2 linked regions of the Caenorhabditis elegans genome follow. The protein of the gene in region 1 interacts with the protein of each later gene in a biochemical or structural test. Each region holds a gene or a part of one and is shown in the gene's direction. Other genes may lie near its edges. The genes, in order: smu-1 and smu-2.

The links.
Region 2: the proteins of smu-1 (region 1) and smu-2 are reported together in a solved structure, tested with the Caenorhabditis elegans proteins (one study listed by BioGRID).

The regions. Positions count from the first base shown.
Region 1 is NC_003279.8:12,992,627-13,001,347, forward strand, and holds the start of smu-1 (Smu-1 suppressor of mec-8 and unc-52 protein), read left to right. Parts: upstream 1-3,176; 5' UTR 3,177-3,262; coding exon 3,263-3,291; intron 3,292-3,378; coding exon 3,379-3,445; intron 3,446-3,498; coding exon 3,499-3,642; intron 3,643-3,938; coding exon 3,939-4,338; intron 4,339-5,330; coding exon 5,331-5,455; intron 5,456-6,302; coding exon 6,303-6,532; intron 6,533-6,845; coding exon 6,846-6,942; intron 6,943-7,908; coding exon 7,909-8,097; intron 8,098-8,601; coding exon 8,602-8,671; intron 8,672-8,721. Other genes in the region: nlp-15 (Neuropeptide-Like Protein), read left to right, coding at 1,601-1,795, 2,282-2,425, 2,477-2,509. UniProt on the Caenorhabditis elegans protein: Involved in pre-mRNA splicing as a component of the spliceosome. Selectively regulates alternative splicing of unc-52 exon 17.
Region 2 is NC_003280.10:3,479,435-3,487,746, forward strand, and holds the start of smu-2 (Smu-2 suppressor of mec-8 and unc-52 protein), read left to right. Parts: upstream 1-2,973; 5' UTR 2,974-3,078; coding exon 3,079-3,095; intron 3,096-3,148; coding exon 3,149-3,431; intron 3,432-3,512; coding exon 3,513-3,749; intron 3,750-5,052; coding exon 5,053-5,279; intron 5,280-7,177; coding exon 7,178-7,519; intron 7,520-8,312. Other genes in the region: Y49F6B.8 (BTB domain-containing protein), read right to left, coding at 69-206, 253-414, 458-617, 669-1,067, 1,119-1,260, 2,195-2,210. UniProt on the Caenorhabditis elegans protein: Auxiliary spliceosomal protein that regulates selection of alternative splice sites in a small set of target pre-mRNA species. Selectively regulates alternative splicing of unc-52 exon 17.

The DNA.
Region 1 (8,721 bases):
GAACATATTTGTAGTTTTTGAACTTCTGATTTTTTGGAAAATTTTAATTTTGAATTTTGAATTCCACATGTCTTATTAACCCTCACTACACAAATCTCACCCTTGGAGTACTGTAACCAGCGATAAATCGGTGGCCGAGTTTTTCTCCATTCTCGTCCAAAAACCTTTTTCCATTTTCTGACGACTACTCATTATCATAAATAATTAATTGCAACTCGTTCGTTTTCCATGCGCCACAGCCACATCAGCAGAACCCAAAAAACACTAATGCATTTCGTTTTTCTACTGATTAAAATTTCAAAAGGAGGGAATGAATGAAAAGGAACGGAGAGTAATATGTTTTTTTTTGTTTCTTGTGCAAAATGAGTGGGCTGTGGTGGTGGTGATCAAACTTCAATAATATATATGTTATGTGGGAAAGAGGGTAAGGGATTGTATTATTACTAATGTTAGTTAAATTATAGTGATACTCAAGGACCCTTATTTCTAAGAAGAGGAGGAATGGATGTATATAAGTTACTTAGAATCGTAGTAAGTATTTTTCAAAAATTCTATGATGCCACGTGGTATCAGAGCGTCTCATCTCAGTTTGATCTACGTAGATCTACAAAAAATGCGGGAGAAGAGACACTGATTTCGCATGGTTAAGGACGTGCATACGTCACAGTTGTTTGGGCAAAAACATTCGCGCATTTTTTGTAGATCAAACCGTAATGGGACAGCCTGGCACCACGTGTGGTTCCAAAAAACGGCAAAGACGGCAAAGTTTAGTTAACAACGTGAAACCCCTGTTAGTTAGCGGCGGACACTGTGCGTTTATGAATTTCCCCACATTCACGATTACCTATTTTGACAAATTTAGTATTCAACAAAAAAGGGATTAAAAAACGTATTGAAATAAATAAATATATAAAATATATAGCGAAACTTTTTATATATTAACAGAATTCACATTTAACAGTTGAAGACAAAAATATCAAACTTATAGTTTCGAGTGTCCGTCCCCGAACCCCTAAACATTTTTTTGTTAGTAGTCCTAACTTGTTTTCCAGTCCTATATTTCGTACCATAAAATTTATGCCGTGTCTTATGTCCTCCTAACATCCTGACATTTCTCGGAACTTCCTCAACATCTAATCCTCTTCAATCACTGAAGTAAATACTATTTAATCCACCTCTCTTCTTGTCAAGACCCAAGTTTGTGAGTCCTCCTTCCCAAAAAATAAAAAAACAAAATGTATCACATCTCGTGTCCAATGACGCGAAATAAAACGGGGAAGCGAAGAAGTGCGTCAAACGAAATTTTCCAATTACAAAGTGCCAACAAACTCGCCAGGCATCATGATGACATAGACATAAACATGTGTAGGGGGGCCCCTCGTTGATATTGGGATGGCTAGGGGGGTCCTGGTGGAGGGTGAAAGGGAGACACTACAAACTACAGAACTGTGTTAGCTGAGCACTATTTGAATTCAAGACATATAATTCTGTAATACTGCATCAATAGTATACTAACTTAGTTTTTTCTACATTATATAATTTAGGCAAAACTAGTTATTTTATTAACATTTAAAAAGGTTCAAATAGTTTTTAATTCCAGATGTCCACAGTGGAAAGTGCAGCTGTCCGACTACGTCCAGTTGGCTCATTGTTCTTCCTGAATCGACCTCACGAGAAAAGAGCATTCGATTCGTTAGCTGGAAGTGGTTTTGATAATGGATTCAACAAACGAGCATTCGACAGTCTTGCTGGTTCAGGTTTCGGAGCATTCAATAAAAGAGCATTTGATTCATTGGTGAGTTGAAGGTGGCCTTAAGCCATCAGGCGTGTGTGTCTGCCTACTGCCTAACTTTTTTCGGTGATCGATTAGAAAAAGCTGTTCCAAAGTTCGTTAAAAATGTTTAAAATTTTGAAGCAAACATTTTTCAATTGACGAATTTTTAAAAATATTTCTAACGGTTTTTGAGCAAAGTCCAGATTTTTAACAATTTTTTTCATGCTACAAACTACACTTGGTTTCAAAGTGTCTCATTTCGGTTTGATCTACGCAGATCTACAAAAAATGCGGGAGAAGTGACGCGTAGTTCTCAACTGATTTTGCATGGTTGAGAATGTGCTGACGTCACATTTTTCTGCGCGAAAAATTTCCGCATTTTTGTAGATCAAACCGTAATAGGACAGCCTGGCACCACGTGCCCATATGGTTAAGCTCTTGGTGAAAATGTAGTTTGTAGTTTGTAGTTTGTAGTCTTTCCTCTCCAAACAACTCCAAATTTTTCAGGCGGGAAGTGGCTTCGGTGCGTTCAACAAACGCGCTTTTGACTCGCTAGCCGGATCCGGCTTCAGCGGTTTTGACAAAAGAGCTTTCGATTCACTGGCTGGACAAGGTTTTACTGGATTTGAGAAACGCGCCTTTGATACAGTGGTACGGTTTTCGGTGGAAATTCCAGTTTTTCGAATTTTCAATAATTTTCAGAGCACGTCAGGCTTTGACGATTTCAAATTGTGAAGAGCTCACTGATATTTAAAATTTGGTTCAATTCAAGCACATATTTTTGAGGTAAGCAACTGATTTTAATGTTGTTAATCAAATGAAAAGTGAAATTTTTGGAATAATTTTTTTTTGTTTTCAGGTAGCTCCAACGAACGACACACACAAGCCCAGTCCCCCAGTATTCCTGACGACAGCCCCTGCTCACACACTTTTTATTATAATTCCTTTTTTTTCAAACTTTTTTTTCAAATTTTATACTTTAATCTCAAAAAACCTATTCATACGAACACAAGTACCGGTGTGCGTGTGTGAGAATAAGAATTTATTTTAAAAAAATAAAGAATGTCGTCCTGTTTTTTCATATTTATTGAAGAAAATGGAGCTGGAAAAAAATCAATTGTAAAAAACAGAAAAACGTGCTGATAAAATGCATTGTACGCAAACTGTGGATTTTGAGAACTAACGTAGTCAAGCAAAAATCTCTGGAATTTTATCGATTTTTAACGGATAAACTGTTGTTTTTTGTAACTGTGCATGAAAAAAAATCTCAGGCAAAAATATTTTCTGAAAAAAAAAGAGTTTAAACACAAATGCAAGTCCACAAAAAACTCCAATTTGAAATTCGCTCCAAAAACGCAAAACACGCCAAGCGCTCGTGCTGGCGCATTTGCCGATCGCTTCCAAAAAGGCTGGCGCACTTCTCGTGTCCGAGGATATTCGAATTTTACACGTCATTTTCAGCCGTTTTTCACCGAATTTTCGCTGAAAATGTCATCGATTGAGATCGAATCTTCAGAGTAAGTTTATCTAAAAAGTTTTTCATTCAAAATGTGTAAAAATTCATTTAAAATAACCCAAAAATCATTAATCCTCGATATTTTCAGTGTAATCCGTCTCATCGAACAATTCCTCAAAGAATCGAATTTGCACCGAACTCTGGCGATTTTGCAGGTATTTTCCTGCATTTTTCAACTGGGAAAATGAAAGAAAATCGATAATTTCAGGAAGAAACCAACGTTTCGCTCAATACAGTCGACTCAATTGATGGATTTTGTAATGAAATTACGTCTGGAAATTGGGATAACGTGTTGAAAACCGTTCAATCGTTGAAATTACCCGCCAAGAAACTTATCGATCTGTATGAACATGTAAGATATGGGAAAGAAGGAAAAAACCGAGATTTTACTTGAAAAATTGAATTTTTCGCGGGATTTTCACCAAAAATTGTTGAATATTCATTATTTCACGCTGTAAAACAAAAAAAAAAAAAATCAAAAACTACGTTGAAATCGCGTTTTTAAGCGAATTTTCTTCAGAATTGCCAGATTTTAACCCCAAATTTTGCAGTTTTTAAATAAAATTTCACCTTTTCGGCTCAAATTGTAGATTTTCCTGAAAATTTAGTACAAAAAACAATTTCCTCGTAAATTTTTCAAATTTTCAGGTAATAATCGAGCTTGTGGAGCTCCGTGAGCTGGCGACCGCCCGTCTCGTCGCCCGTCAGACTGATCCAATGATTTTGCTAAAACAAATTGATCCGGATCGATTCGCCCGCCTGGAATCTCTTATCAACCGCCCGTATTTCGATGGACAAGAGGTTTATGGAGATGTTAGTAAAGAGAAACGACGCTCCGTAATTGCACAAACTCTTTCATCAGAAGTTCATGTAGTTGCTCCGTCAAGACTTTTGAGTTTACTTGGACAATCACTTAAATGGCAACTTCATCAAGGACTTCTTCCACCTGGAACTGCAATTGATTTATTTAGAGGAAAAGCTGCACAGAAAGAGCAAATTGAAGAAAGATATCCGACTATGATGGCTAGAAGCATTAAATTCTCAACGAGTACGGATTGAAATTGCTTTAAAATTTGAAAAATTGATTAAAAAGTGCATTTTTTAAGCTTTGACCGACTTAAAATTAGATTTCTGAGCCTATTTTCTGAGAATTGGAATTTTTTTCATTGTGAAAGTTCAAAGAATAGCGTGAATGATTAGAAAATATTGTAAAATTTCAATTTTTTCCTATAAAAAAGGATTTTTTTAGGAATCAAAAATTGCAAAATGATGCCCTAAAATTCGAAAATAAATATAAAAATTGGCGGTTTCTCAAAAATCTAGAATTCCGACCTTAATTATTAATTTTTTTACAATATTTTTTTTTGAAAAAAATCCAGAAAATTTGAATTTCGTAGTTTGTAGTCTAGGCCTCTATCAATTAAATTTTCGATTTTTTGAGTAAAATTTCGAATTTACTATTATTTGGACCAAAATTGTATTTTTTTTTCAGAATTAAATTTATAAAATTTTCAGAAATTAAATTTATAAAAAAAAAAAAAAATTAAAAAAAAAAAAAAAAAATTAAAAATTAAAAATTAAAAAATTAAGTTTTTTTTACTCAAAATTTTGCACTGAAATTCGAAAATCTAAAAATCCGACCTAAAGTCTGTATTTTTTCAACAAAAATTCAGAAAAAACTCAAAAACTTGTATTTTGTAGCCAGTCAACCACTTTCTAAAATATCAAATTTGAATTTTTCAAGCATTTTTACATTGAAAAATCTAATTTTTCGAGTGAAACCACTTGAAAATCTGAAAATTGAATTAATTTCTGAACTTTAGAGATTTTTTGTCAAAATTTTAGATAAAGGGATTTTTAAACAAAAAATTGATTTTTTAATCGAAAAATACTGGGATTTATGGGTTTTTTAAAAGAAAAACGGGGGTTTGAATGAAAAATCGCCTGAAATCTTAGAAAATTAATTAAAAAACTATGATTTAATTCCAAAAATTACCGAAAATATCAAATTTTCCATTTTTAAACCCTAAATTCTTTCAGAAAGTTATCCCGAATCGGCAGTTTTCTCACCGGACGCTAATTATCTTGTTTCTGGCTCAAAAGACGGATTTATCGAAGTTTGGAATTATATGAATGGAAAATTGAGAAAGGATTTGAAATATCAGGTAGATTTTTTAGAATTTTTGGGTTTTTGAAGTAGAAAATCATAAAAATCTAGGGTTTTTATGAATTGTTTTGAAGAAAAATTGCAAAAATTCCACAAAATGGAAGAAAAATAACTTTGGAAGCGCATTTTTCGCAAAAAAACCGAAATTTTTGCGTAAAATTTCAAAATTGCAATAAAAATTCCACAAACATCAAATTTCTTAAATTTTTTATAAAAAATTGGATGGAAACACTCTTGAATTTAGAAAAAAAATCAGTTTTTCTCATCTAAAACTTCAAAATTTCGGTGTAATCCCATTAAAATTGCCACAAAATTCGGAAATTTCACCTGAAATAGAGTGAATAATTTAAAATGTTCAGAAATTCATATTTTGTCATTTTAAAAGCATTAAAACAAATCAAAAATCTATTTTTTTTGGTTGGAAAAGTTCAAAATTCTGGAGAAATTACATTAAAATTTTCGTAAAATATGGTAAATAAACGAAAATGTTGAGAAATTAAAGAAAAGTTACAATTTTTAGCTTAAAAATTCAACATTTTGAGGAAATGCCACCTAAAAAAGTGACTAATCGAAAATGTTGAGAAATTAAAATTGCCACCATTTATTTATATAAACTACTCTAAAATTACAATTTTCATGTTAAAAATTAATAAAAAATCTACTTTTTCCAAACTACAGTAACCTTACCGTATACCTACAGTACCTGAACATTGCCCCCCACCAGCTCCCAACCCAATACCTCCTCAAAAACTTACACCTCAATTTTTCATAAACTACAGTAACCCTACCAAAAAAGCACAAAAAAAAATCTACATTCATTTTCCAACAATTTTCAATATTTTCAGGCCCAAGATAATCTAATGATGATGGATGCAGCAGTGAGATGTATATCATTTAGTCGTGATTCTGAAATGCTCGCCACAGGCTCAATTGACGGAAAAATTAAAGTTTGGAAAGTGGAAACTGGTGATTGTCTTCGAAGATTTGATAGAGCTCACACGAAAGGAGTTTGTGCTGTTCGATTCTCAAAAGATAATTCACATATTTTGTCGGGTGGAAATGATCATGTTGTGAGGTACGACTACCTGCCTGCCTACCGCCTAAATTTTTTGTGAAGTTTCTTCAAAAAATCCAGAAAAAAAAACAATTTTCATACGATTTTTTCCCTTAAAATTGTGAATTTTCATGCTTTTTAGCCCCAAAAGTCATTATTTGAGAAAAAATTTCATACAAAAAAGTTTTGAGAAATACACAATTTTTTAAATGTAATTTTCAAATTTTCAATTTTCAACTAGAAAATTCACAAAACTTGTAAATTTTGGACCAAAACATTTATACAATTACTTTTTTTGAATCTAATAACTACAATAACTACAAATTTTGTTCAGAGTTCATGGAATGAAGAGCGGAAAATGTTTGAAGGAAATGCGTGGGCACTCGAGTTATATTACAGATGTCAGATATTCCGATGAGGGAAATCATATTGTGAGTTTTTGAAAAGTGCAGTTTGTAGTCTAATTTTCATTTATTTTCTTTTTAAAAAACGCATCAATTTTTAAATATTTTGGGACAAAATCCGAAAACTGTACTAATTTGTAGTTTGTAAAATTAAAAAAAAAACGCAAAAAAATGTTTTCAAAAATGCTTAGAATAAAAATAAAATTTCTAAAAAATTGAACAAAATAAACATTTAAAAATTCAAAAAGTTTGAAAAAATGCAAAGTTTTTTAATGCAAAAAATATTTAATGTTTAAACAAATTTAAAAAATGTTGTAAGAATATGTTTAGAGACAGTTTTTAAATGTTAAATTGCAAAAAAAAAAAAGCAAAAAAAAATTTGAAAAATGTAACAGAAAATTTTAATTAAAAAAGTCGTGTTTTTTTCAAACCTGCAATTCTTTGTAATTTTATTTATAAAGAGAAACAAATCAAATTGTATATTACGAAAAACGATACTAAAATTCGAAAATTTGCGGTTTTTTGCGTAAAAAATACGGTTCCTGAAAATGGGTGTGCACCTTTAAGGAGTACTGTAGTTCTAAACTTTCATTGCTGCAAAATTTATATCTATTTTTTGAAGTTTTACAATAAAAATAACAATTTTCATTAAATAACTACAATTAAACAGCTAAAAACATATAAGAAATCGCGAGAAAATCGGGAAAAAATTGTAGTTTGTAGTATGTTAGCCGCAATCAAATGCATGTTATCTCTGTATTTCTTTTCTCACACAAATCCCACATATTTCTATGTTTACACACGTCATTTTGTGCACTTTTTCTGACGTTTCCCCTCCATATTGATTTTGCTTTTTACTGTTTAGAAACGTTGCAGAAATCCGGAAAAATTGATTTTTTTTCTATATATATATATTTTTTTCCAAGTTTCAAATTTAAATTTCAGAAAAAAAATTTAGACTTAAAAAAATTAAAAATCCCAAATAATTTCCAGATCTCATGTTCAACAGATGGTTCAATTCGTGTTTGGCATGGAAAATCGGGTGAATGCCTTTCAACATTCCGTGTTGGAAGTGAAGATTATCCAATATTAAATGTGATTCCAATTCCGAAAAGTGATCCACCACAAATGATTGTATGCAATCGATCCAATACCCTCTACGTTGTTAATATTTCTGGACAGGTAACATGATTTTGAAAAAAAGTTTAAGAACTGAAAAATGGAATAAAAATATTTAAGAGCATTTTTAAATGTAAAATTAACAAAAAAAGCGCCTAAGAATGTTTCCAAAACAGTAAAAAAAAGGTTTAAAAAAATGCAAAAAAAAATTTAAGATGCTTTTAATTACACAAAAAATGAAAGTAAAAAAAATTAAAATATTGAAAAATGTATATTTGTTTGAAAAGGTACATTTTTCAATGCAAAAAATGTTTCTAAAAATTAAAAAAATATGTTTAAATTGTGTAAAGTGTAAATTAAAAAATAAAATTATGAAAAAGTATTGTTTCATACTTTTTCTAAATTTTGGTTGAAAAATTTAAAATTCCAGCTTTTTATTCACATTATGTGTTCTAAAAATCTTTCCCCAATTTTCGGGACCGTTTTCCAGTATATTTCCATTTTTCAAAAAGATTTTTAACTGAAATTCATGTTTTCAATGCTAAAAATCAATAAAAAAAATTTCAGGTGGTTCGTACGATGACGTCAGGAAAGCGTGAGAAAGGAGACTTCATCAACTGCATTTTATCGCCGAAAGGTTAATTTTGACCCGAAAATTGAAAAAAAAAACCGATTTCAAAATTCTAA
Region 2 (8,312 bases), on another chromosome or scaffold:
TTGACGTAATTCAACTAAGTTGTGGAACCCGGTAGATGTCAAGTGCTGATTTGAACTAAGCAACTAACCGTATGAATCATAGTTCGAATGAAATCGTGTGCATGGTAAGACACGATAGTGGCAATGCAGCACGTTTCAACGTTTCGAAACTTGGCGTCCTCAGCGATGATCATCAAATTGCAGACATATGGAAGGTCCTCATAGTTCTGAAAATATTACGGTATTTGATTAAAGCAAACACACAACTTTTACCGTCTGCAGCTCCAGACAAAGATGTTTTTCGAGCGAGCTTCTCAGCTTTTCCGAATCAGGATTGGTGAACCAATGCTCAGCCAAAGATGATATCTCAGAAGCCAATCTTGGTGTGAGCTGGGCAGGCTTTTTGTAATGTCTGGTGACCATGTATACGAGACACTGAAATTAAACGGTCCCAAATATTCAGAAAACGTCAACCTACGATGTTAATAGCCTCCACATCGGAGCATTCAACGGTGAGCTCTGTGGTGTGCTCCGTCAAAAATGCACGGAAGTACCCAGAAGCCAGACAGACCATCTCACTGTTAGTCATCACGAATTGAGTTCCATCAGATGTGATGAGTTTCAGATTTTTTGGGAATCTAAAAAAAAACTTTTTGAATTCAAAGAAGTGCTGCAAATCAAAAACTGACTTTGCAGTAATTGCATCGAAGTTGCTTTCAGAAGTTTCTGTTTCAATTGGTGCTCCTTCTTCCAACAAGTACTTCAAATCCGCGAAATCGTCTCGATCGTACACCCACTGAGTTTCCAATTCAAGTTCTTGTTCATTCTTCTCTGCGGAGACCATCAACTCTGAGAGATCTTTTCCGTGTGGATCAGTTCGAAAGGTCTTTGATTCCATTGCGACTCTTCCTTCATTTATTTGTCCATCGAGTACATATTTGAGGCTGTTCTCAACACTTCCATCTTTTTCCATCACATTCAATGTGAATTGTATTTTTTGGGGTGGTGGATATTTATCACGAATTGCCCTTTGCACCAATTTGAGTTTCCATGGGGAATCAAGCGGATACCGATTGAGTTGAAGAACCCTAAATAAAATTTTATATATTTTACCTTCCAACTTCGAAAAAATCACTCACCATTTTAGCATGTTTCCCTCAAAAACCGTGGCAAATTGCTCTTGGAAAATAATAGACACATCAGTTGGTCGAGCATTTTTTGGAGGAATTTTAAAACTGTGATGATGGTTGAAGGTGACTATATTGTCTGCGAGTTGATACTCTGGAATATTGATTTTTTTGAAGATTTCATAGTCTTCTTGGATTTCAAAAATTGAAATATTTCAGCTGTATTAAAAGAGAATAAATAAAATGATATTGCCTAGGGGTGAGCGGCAAACGATTTTTTCCGGCAAATCGGCAAATCGACAAATTGCCGGAATTGGAAATTTCCAGCAAATCGGCATATCGGCAATTTGCCGGAATTTAAAATTTCCGGCAAACCGGCAAACCGGCAAATTGCCGATTTGCCGAACTTCGGTAAATTTGCAAATCGGTAATTTGCCGAAAATTTTCGGCAAATTGTGGTTTTGCACTTATTTTTTGGAATTTCAATTTCAAATGGCAAAATTAAACGCATCATATGAATTTTTCTATATCTATTTTGAGAAGTTCTATGAAAATATGTAGAAAAAACGGGAAAAATTCAATAATAGACAGTTTTAAGTGCTTCCGTCTTATAAAAAATCCCTCTAAACATTTCCGGCAAATCTGGTATTCGGCAAATCGGCAAGTCGGCAATTTGCCGTAAATTAAAATTTCCGGCAAAACGGCAAACCGGCAAATTGCCGGAATTGGAAATTTCCGGCAAATCGGCAAATTGCTTGCCCATTTTTTGATTCTTAGTCGGCGTTTTACACAAAAGATAAATTCCAATAAAAGACAGAACTTTGCTTTTTGCCAGAAATTAAAAAATTGGGGCAAACCAATCCAAATATGAAGTGTAAACTTGGGTTTGCACCAGGGCTGTGCGGAAACCGGCAATTGCCGAAATTGCCGAACCCTAAAAACTTTGGCAACCGGCAACTTTTGCTGGCTGGAACTTCGGCAACTTTTCGGCAAACGGCAACTTGGTTGCCGGTTGCGCAAAGCTCTGGTTTGCGTTTAGTAGCAAGGCTTCCTGAAAGAATTCCGGAGGAAAACTCCCCCTAACTCACCTTTTACTCTATGCATCTGCTTAATTTTGTGCAATTGTAGTGCAAATAGTAGGAAATGAATTTTTTTTCCGCCATTTTTTCCTTTTCCTATTTCTGCTTTTCAATTTCCACGTGGAGCTCTTTTAAAATGAAAATTTAAACTCTAGATATTTCACGTTTTAAAAAAAAAAAATTTTAATTTTCTATCGGTTTTACTTTTGACGAAAAGGGTTCACAGACATTGGAAATAATCATCATTTACTATATATAAAGCGCTTATTCTGTGTGTCCATAGTTTGTAGTCTCTGTAGTCTTTGTAGTCTGTGAAGTTTTGGCTTCTGGAGGGATAGTGAGTTGGGGTCAGTGTAGGGATATAGTCGGGGTACTGTAGTGGTACAATAGTGGTACGGTAGGAATACTGTAGGGTTACGGTAGTTTCATAAAAAATTAATTTTCAGCCCCAGAAGTCGGGGGCCGCGCCGAAGGTGCCTAGACCTAAGCCTAGGCCTCAGCCTAAGCCTAATTACATCAAAAAAGCTATGACTTTTGGATCATTTTGACTTCTTTTCTAGAACGCATAATGAAATAATTCTTAATTTCATCGGCTTTTTCTCATCGTTGCTTAGAAGTATTGTCTTGAAAATTGATATTTTTAGAAAGTACACATATTTCTCAATCCTTTTATTTAAATTTCTGAAAGAAACTTTGCCACAACGGTGAGAAAAGGGTGCCCGAAAAATGTGCATTTAAATGTGAAAAATATCCGTGGCCGCGGCCTAAGAACCCCCGTCGGCCATGTGGTGCAAGTGCGCTCTGTTGCGGATTTTTATATTTAATTGCATTTTCGCATATTCGAACGATTTTCCTGATTTTCCAGCCGAAATTGTCCATTAAAAAGTGGAAAAATGGCTGATAATCCAACGTAAGTGATTTTATTATTTTTTATAGCTATTTTCCATAACCCAAACCTTCCAGAAACCTGCGAAACGCCGATTTTCGAAAGCTCCTGACTTCAGCTCGGAGTGATCGTCCAGCAGTCTCGGCCTTTGCAAAACCGGCCGACCCGAAAACCGGCGACGATAAGCCTGCAAGCTTCAAGCACAAACATCTGAAACCGGCTAAATTCAAAAAACCACAGGCGGCCGCTCACGGGAAGGCGAAAAAAGAGAAAACCGAGGCGGACGAGGATGAGGCCGCGCTCAAAAATATTCTGAAAAACTATAGAGATCGTGCAGCGGAGAGACGCAAGCAAGGCGATGTTAGTAGAATTAAAATATCATATAATTTTTGCCAAATTTCATTAAATTCCATTAAAAAACCTGAAAAATCGATTTTTTAGGAAAAAGAAGATCCATCAAAACTCACGGCGGCATATCGTGCAGTTCCAGGAGACGCCCGTTCGGCTCAGGATCAGGCAGATTTGCGAAAACAGGCGATTTTAGAATCGAAATATCTTGGAGGAGATTTGGAGCACACTCACTTGGTCAAAGGTCTCGATTATTCGCTTTTGAACAAAGTTCGAAGTGAAATTGACAAAAGTGATGATGATGACGATGATGATATTGATACGGCATTTGTAAGGAGTTGAACGGCTGAAAAATCGATATTTTGAGCGAAAAAAGCCGGAAAAATGGATTTTATCGGATAAAATTTGATTTTTTGAGCTGAGAAATGCCTTTATAGACGAATTTCCTTGTCAAATTGTTAAAAACTGCAAAATTTGCCAAAAAAAAAGCATTTTTTATATTTTTTTTTACAAAAAATTCCACAAAAATGGCAAAATTTGACTAAAAATGCCAATTTTGTCGTTTTCTCCGTGCCACAGCGGCCGAAAATCGATTTTTAAGCGATTTTCGGGTGAAAAAGTGTAAAAACCGACTGAAAATCCAGCTGAAAACGACAAAAACGGTAAGTTTTAGCTAATTTTCACCTTTTTTTCGATATTTTTTTACTAAAAAAAAACCGAAAAATTGAGTTTTTTTCAAATTTCTGCAAAAATTCTGCAATTTTAGCAATTTCCATACTATTTTGACGCCGAAAAAGCTTAAAAATATGATTTTTAGAGGTTTTTAATGGAAAATTCATGGATTTTTCAAATTTTTCCACGAAAATCATTGAAAAATTTGAAAAAATTGATTTCCTATTCAAAGTTCTAGCTAAAAACTGCAATTTTAGCAATTTCCATACTATTTTAGTACTGAAAAAGCCTAAAAATGTGATTTTCAGAGGATTTCAATGGAAAATTCATGGATTTTTCCAATTTTTCAATGAAAACCATTGAAAAACCCTGGAAAATTGAGTTTTTCTTCAAAGTTTAGGAAATTTATGAGAATTTTTGAATAAAAAATTTTTAAATTTGAAAAAAATTGAAATTTTAATTCTAAATTTTAAAGAAAGTTGATTTTTTAATAATTTTTTTTTTTGAATAAAAAAAAATCAACTTTCTTTAAAATTTAGAATTAAAATTTCAATTTTTTTATTCAAAAATTCTCATAAATTTCGTAAACTTTTAATAAAAACTCAATTTTTCCGATTTTTTTCGATGATTTTCACTAAAAAATTGGAAAAATTCATCAATTTCCTATTGAAAACCTCTAAAAATTATATTTTTTTTGCTTTTCCGACGTCAAAATAGTATGGAAAATGCTAAAATTGCAGAATTTTTCCAGAAATTTGAAGAAAAAACTCAATTTTTTCCGTTTTTTCAATGATTTTCATGAAAAAATTGGAAAATTTTGTAAATTTTCCATTGAAAACCTCTGAAAATTTGGAAATTTTCGAATTTAAATGTTTAAAAAAAATTGAATATTTTGCGAGTTTTTGAATTTTTTTTGAGAATTTTTGAATTTTTTTCACCCAAAATTTTTTCAATTTTTCAGGACGAAAAAGTGACGTCATCATCATCATCGTCAAAACCATCAGAAGCCAGTTTGCTGGCTCAAGAACTTGCTCAATCTCATTCTGAAAATCGAATGGTCAGAAGTTTGCATCGAGTTCTGTTTAAAAATGAAGTACCCCTTCACAATCAACTTTTCGCAAAAGGACGAATGGCTTATGTTGTAGAGCTGGAAGATGAGGAAACTGACATTCCGACGACGTTGTTGAGGTGCTGAAGCTCGAAAATTTGGAGCTTTTACACGAGATTTTTGAAGAAAAAGCCTGAAAATCGAGAGATTTTGAGCTGTGGAATTCGTTGAAATTACATAATTCGCGCCCGTAATTCTTTAAAAAAACGCTGAAATTTGCAGATTTTGCCAGAAAGTTGAAGAAAAATCTACTTTTCCGGCATTCTCTATTATTTTCATGGAAAATTAGAAAAATCCATGAATAAACAGTGAAAATTGCTGATTTTACCTGAAATTTTGAAAAAAAAAAAAATCTAAAATCAAGGTTTTAAGCCTAAAAACTGCAGATTTCAGCCAAAATTGTGAAAAAAGCTGATTTTTTGCTATTTTGAGCTTTTCCATGGGGTGGAAATTGCCAAAAATTACGGAACATTCACACAAATTTGCTGAATAATCCAATTTTCCAGTGTTTTCTAGAGTTTCCGTAGAAATTTTGAAAAAACCCAGTAAATTTTCAATCGGAAAACCTCTAAAAACATCGTTTCAGGCCTATAAATAGTAAAAATTACCGATTTTATTCGAAAATTTAAGGAAAAGTCGTGAAAAACGAGATTTTAAGCCTCAAAACTGCAGATTCTATCTAAAATTAAAAAAAAAAAACATAAATATCCGAATTTTTGGAGGAAAAGCCTGAAAATCGATATTTTAAGCCTCAAAACTGAAGATTTCAGCCAAAAAAAAAAACAGATTTTTCGCTATTTTATGTGCCAAAAAACCACATTCCGAGCTTTTCCAGAGTGGAAATTGCCAAAAATTACAGAATTTTCCCAGAAATTAGCAAAAAAAAAACCCATTTTTCAGGCGTTTTCAACGATTTTCATAGCAAATTTGAAAAATCCATGAATTTTTTAATTATAGAAAACCCTCTGAAAATTGCAGTTTTAAGCTATTCCAGCATTCAAATAGTATGGAAATTGCTAAAAATTGAAGAATTTTCCCAAAAATTTGATGAAAACTTATTTTTCTGGCGTTTTCGATGATTTTCATGGAATTTCGAGAAAATTAATGAATTTTCAATTAAAAAACGTCTGCAAAATCACATTTTTTAAAGCTTTTTCAGCAACAAAATAGTATGGAAATTGCTTTTTAAAAAAGCGGAATTTTTGGAAAAAAGGTTAAATTTTCAGTCAGTTTTTGCACTTTTTGACTGAAAATTCACTGAAATTAGGGAAAAATTCCGGAAAAATGATTTTTTCGAATTGTAGGGCAAATTTTGCAATTTCAAGCAATTTCCATAATATTTTAATGCTGGAAAAGCTCAAATTTACGTTTTAATGGGATTTTAGTGAAAAATTCATGGATTTTCCGAAAAATTTGCAGGAAAATCATAGTAAAGACCTCAAAAAATCAATAAAAAATTTAAAAAATTGGACAATCACATTTCTGCGTAAAATCTGCACTTTTTCAGTAAAAAATACCGATTTTCCGTGAAAATTCTCGATTTTTAATCGAAAATCTCGAAATTTTTACAAATTTCAGCACCAAAATCGTTGAAAATTCTGAAAATTTGAATTTTTTTTCCTTGTTTTTTGAGTAAAATTTGCACTTTTTCAGTAAAGAATACCGATTTTCCGTGAAAATTCTCGGTTTTTAATCGAAAATCTCGAAATTTTTACAAATTTCAGCTCCGAAATAGCTGAAAATTGGACAAAAATTTCAATTTTTGCCCTGTTTTTTGAGTAAAATCTGCACTTTTTAGTTGAAAAAAAACACGGATTTTGTAGGAAAATTTGGGAAAAATCTCCAAATTTTCACAATTTTCCAGTAAAAACAGCAATTTTTAAAACGGTTTTTAATCAAAAATCTTTAGAATTTTCCAAATTTCAGCACCAAAAAAGCTAAAAATCGCTGAAATTTTCGACAAATTCCAAATTTCCAGGTCTCTCCACGACTTGCCACGTGCCGAATCTGCTCAATCAATTCAAGCGAACAATCTCATCATTTTAAAGCTCTCACATGTGCTCTCTCATCTTCGCGCCGAGCCAAAAAAGAAGAAAAAAGAGGAATTTCGAGTTCAATTGGGCTCCAGAGATGCTCCAGGAGCAGCAGCAGCAGCTCCTGGAGCCAAAGGAGATAGTATCTATGATGATCTTGACGATTATGTTCCATCAAGAAAGTCTAGAGATTCAAGAGACGCAGGTAGAAGAGGAAGTCGGCGGGATAGATCACGGGATAGATCAAGGGATCGGGATCGTGATAGAGATCGTGATAATCGGGATAGGTTGGTTTTTCCGAGAGAAAAACGCTGAAAAATGCCGAAAATTTTGAATTTGCAGGCTTTTTAGGTGCAAAAGTACGGAAAAATCGGAAAAAAATCAGGAAAACATGGGGAAAATCCAATTTTCCAGAAAAAATGTTTGAAAAAATTGAAAACTTTTGTTTTTTTAGTAATAAAGTTTTAAAAAATGGCAAAAATAGCTGAAAACAGCGAAAAAAAAAAATGTTTTTTTCAGGAAAAAATTTGCAAAAAAATGAAGAGCAACAATAATTCCCTTTTTTTTCTGTGTTTTTTTCGGAAAAATTGAGATCGAAAACGAAAAACAGCGAAAATTCCCAATTTTCCCAGTTTTTAAAACATTTTTTTGTAAAAATTTGGAAAAAACGAGTTTTTTCAGAAAAAAATGTGAAAAAAAAGGTAAATTACCAATTTATGCTTTTTTTTCGATCGAGTAAAAAATCGATTTTTCCAAGATTTTTCGCGAAAAATTCAAAAAAAAAGAACGAAAATTCTCGATTTTCTACTTTTTTTCGAAAAAAAAAGGAAATTATAGATTTTTCCAAGATTTTTCGCGAAAAAATTCGAAAAAAATGTTTTTTTCGAAAATTTCAGATTTTCTAATTTTTTCAGAAGAATTCGAAAAAAAAAATCAAAAAATTCGCAATTTTTAGATTTTTTTAAAATCTCAATTTTCTATAATTATTTTCCTAAAAAAATGTAATTAAAAAACCGCTAAAAACGGTAAATTCCAAATTTTTGCATTTTTTCAAAAAAAATTTGAAAAAAAAAATCAGAA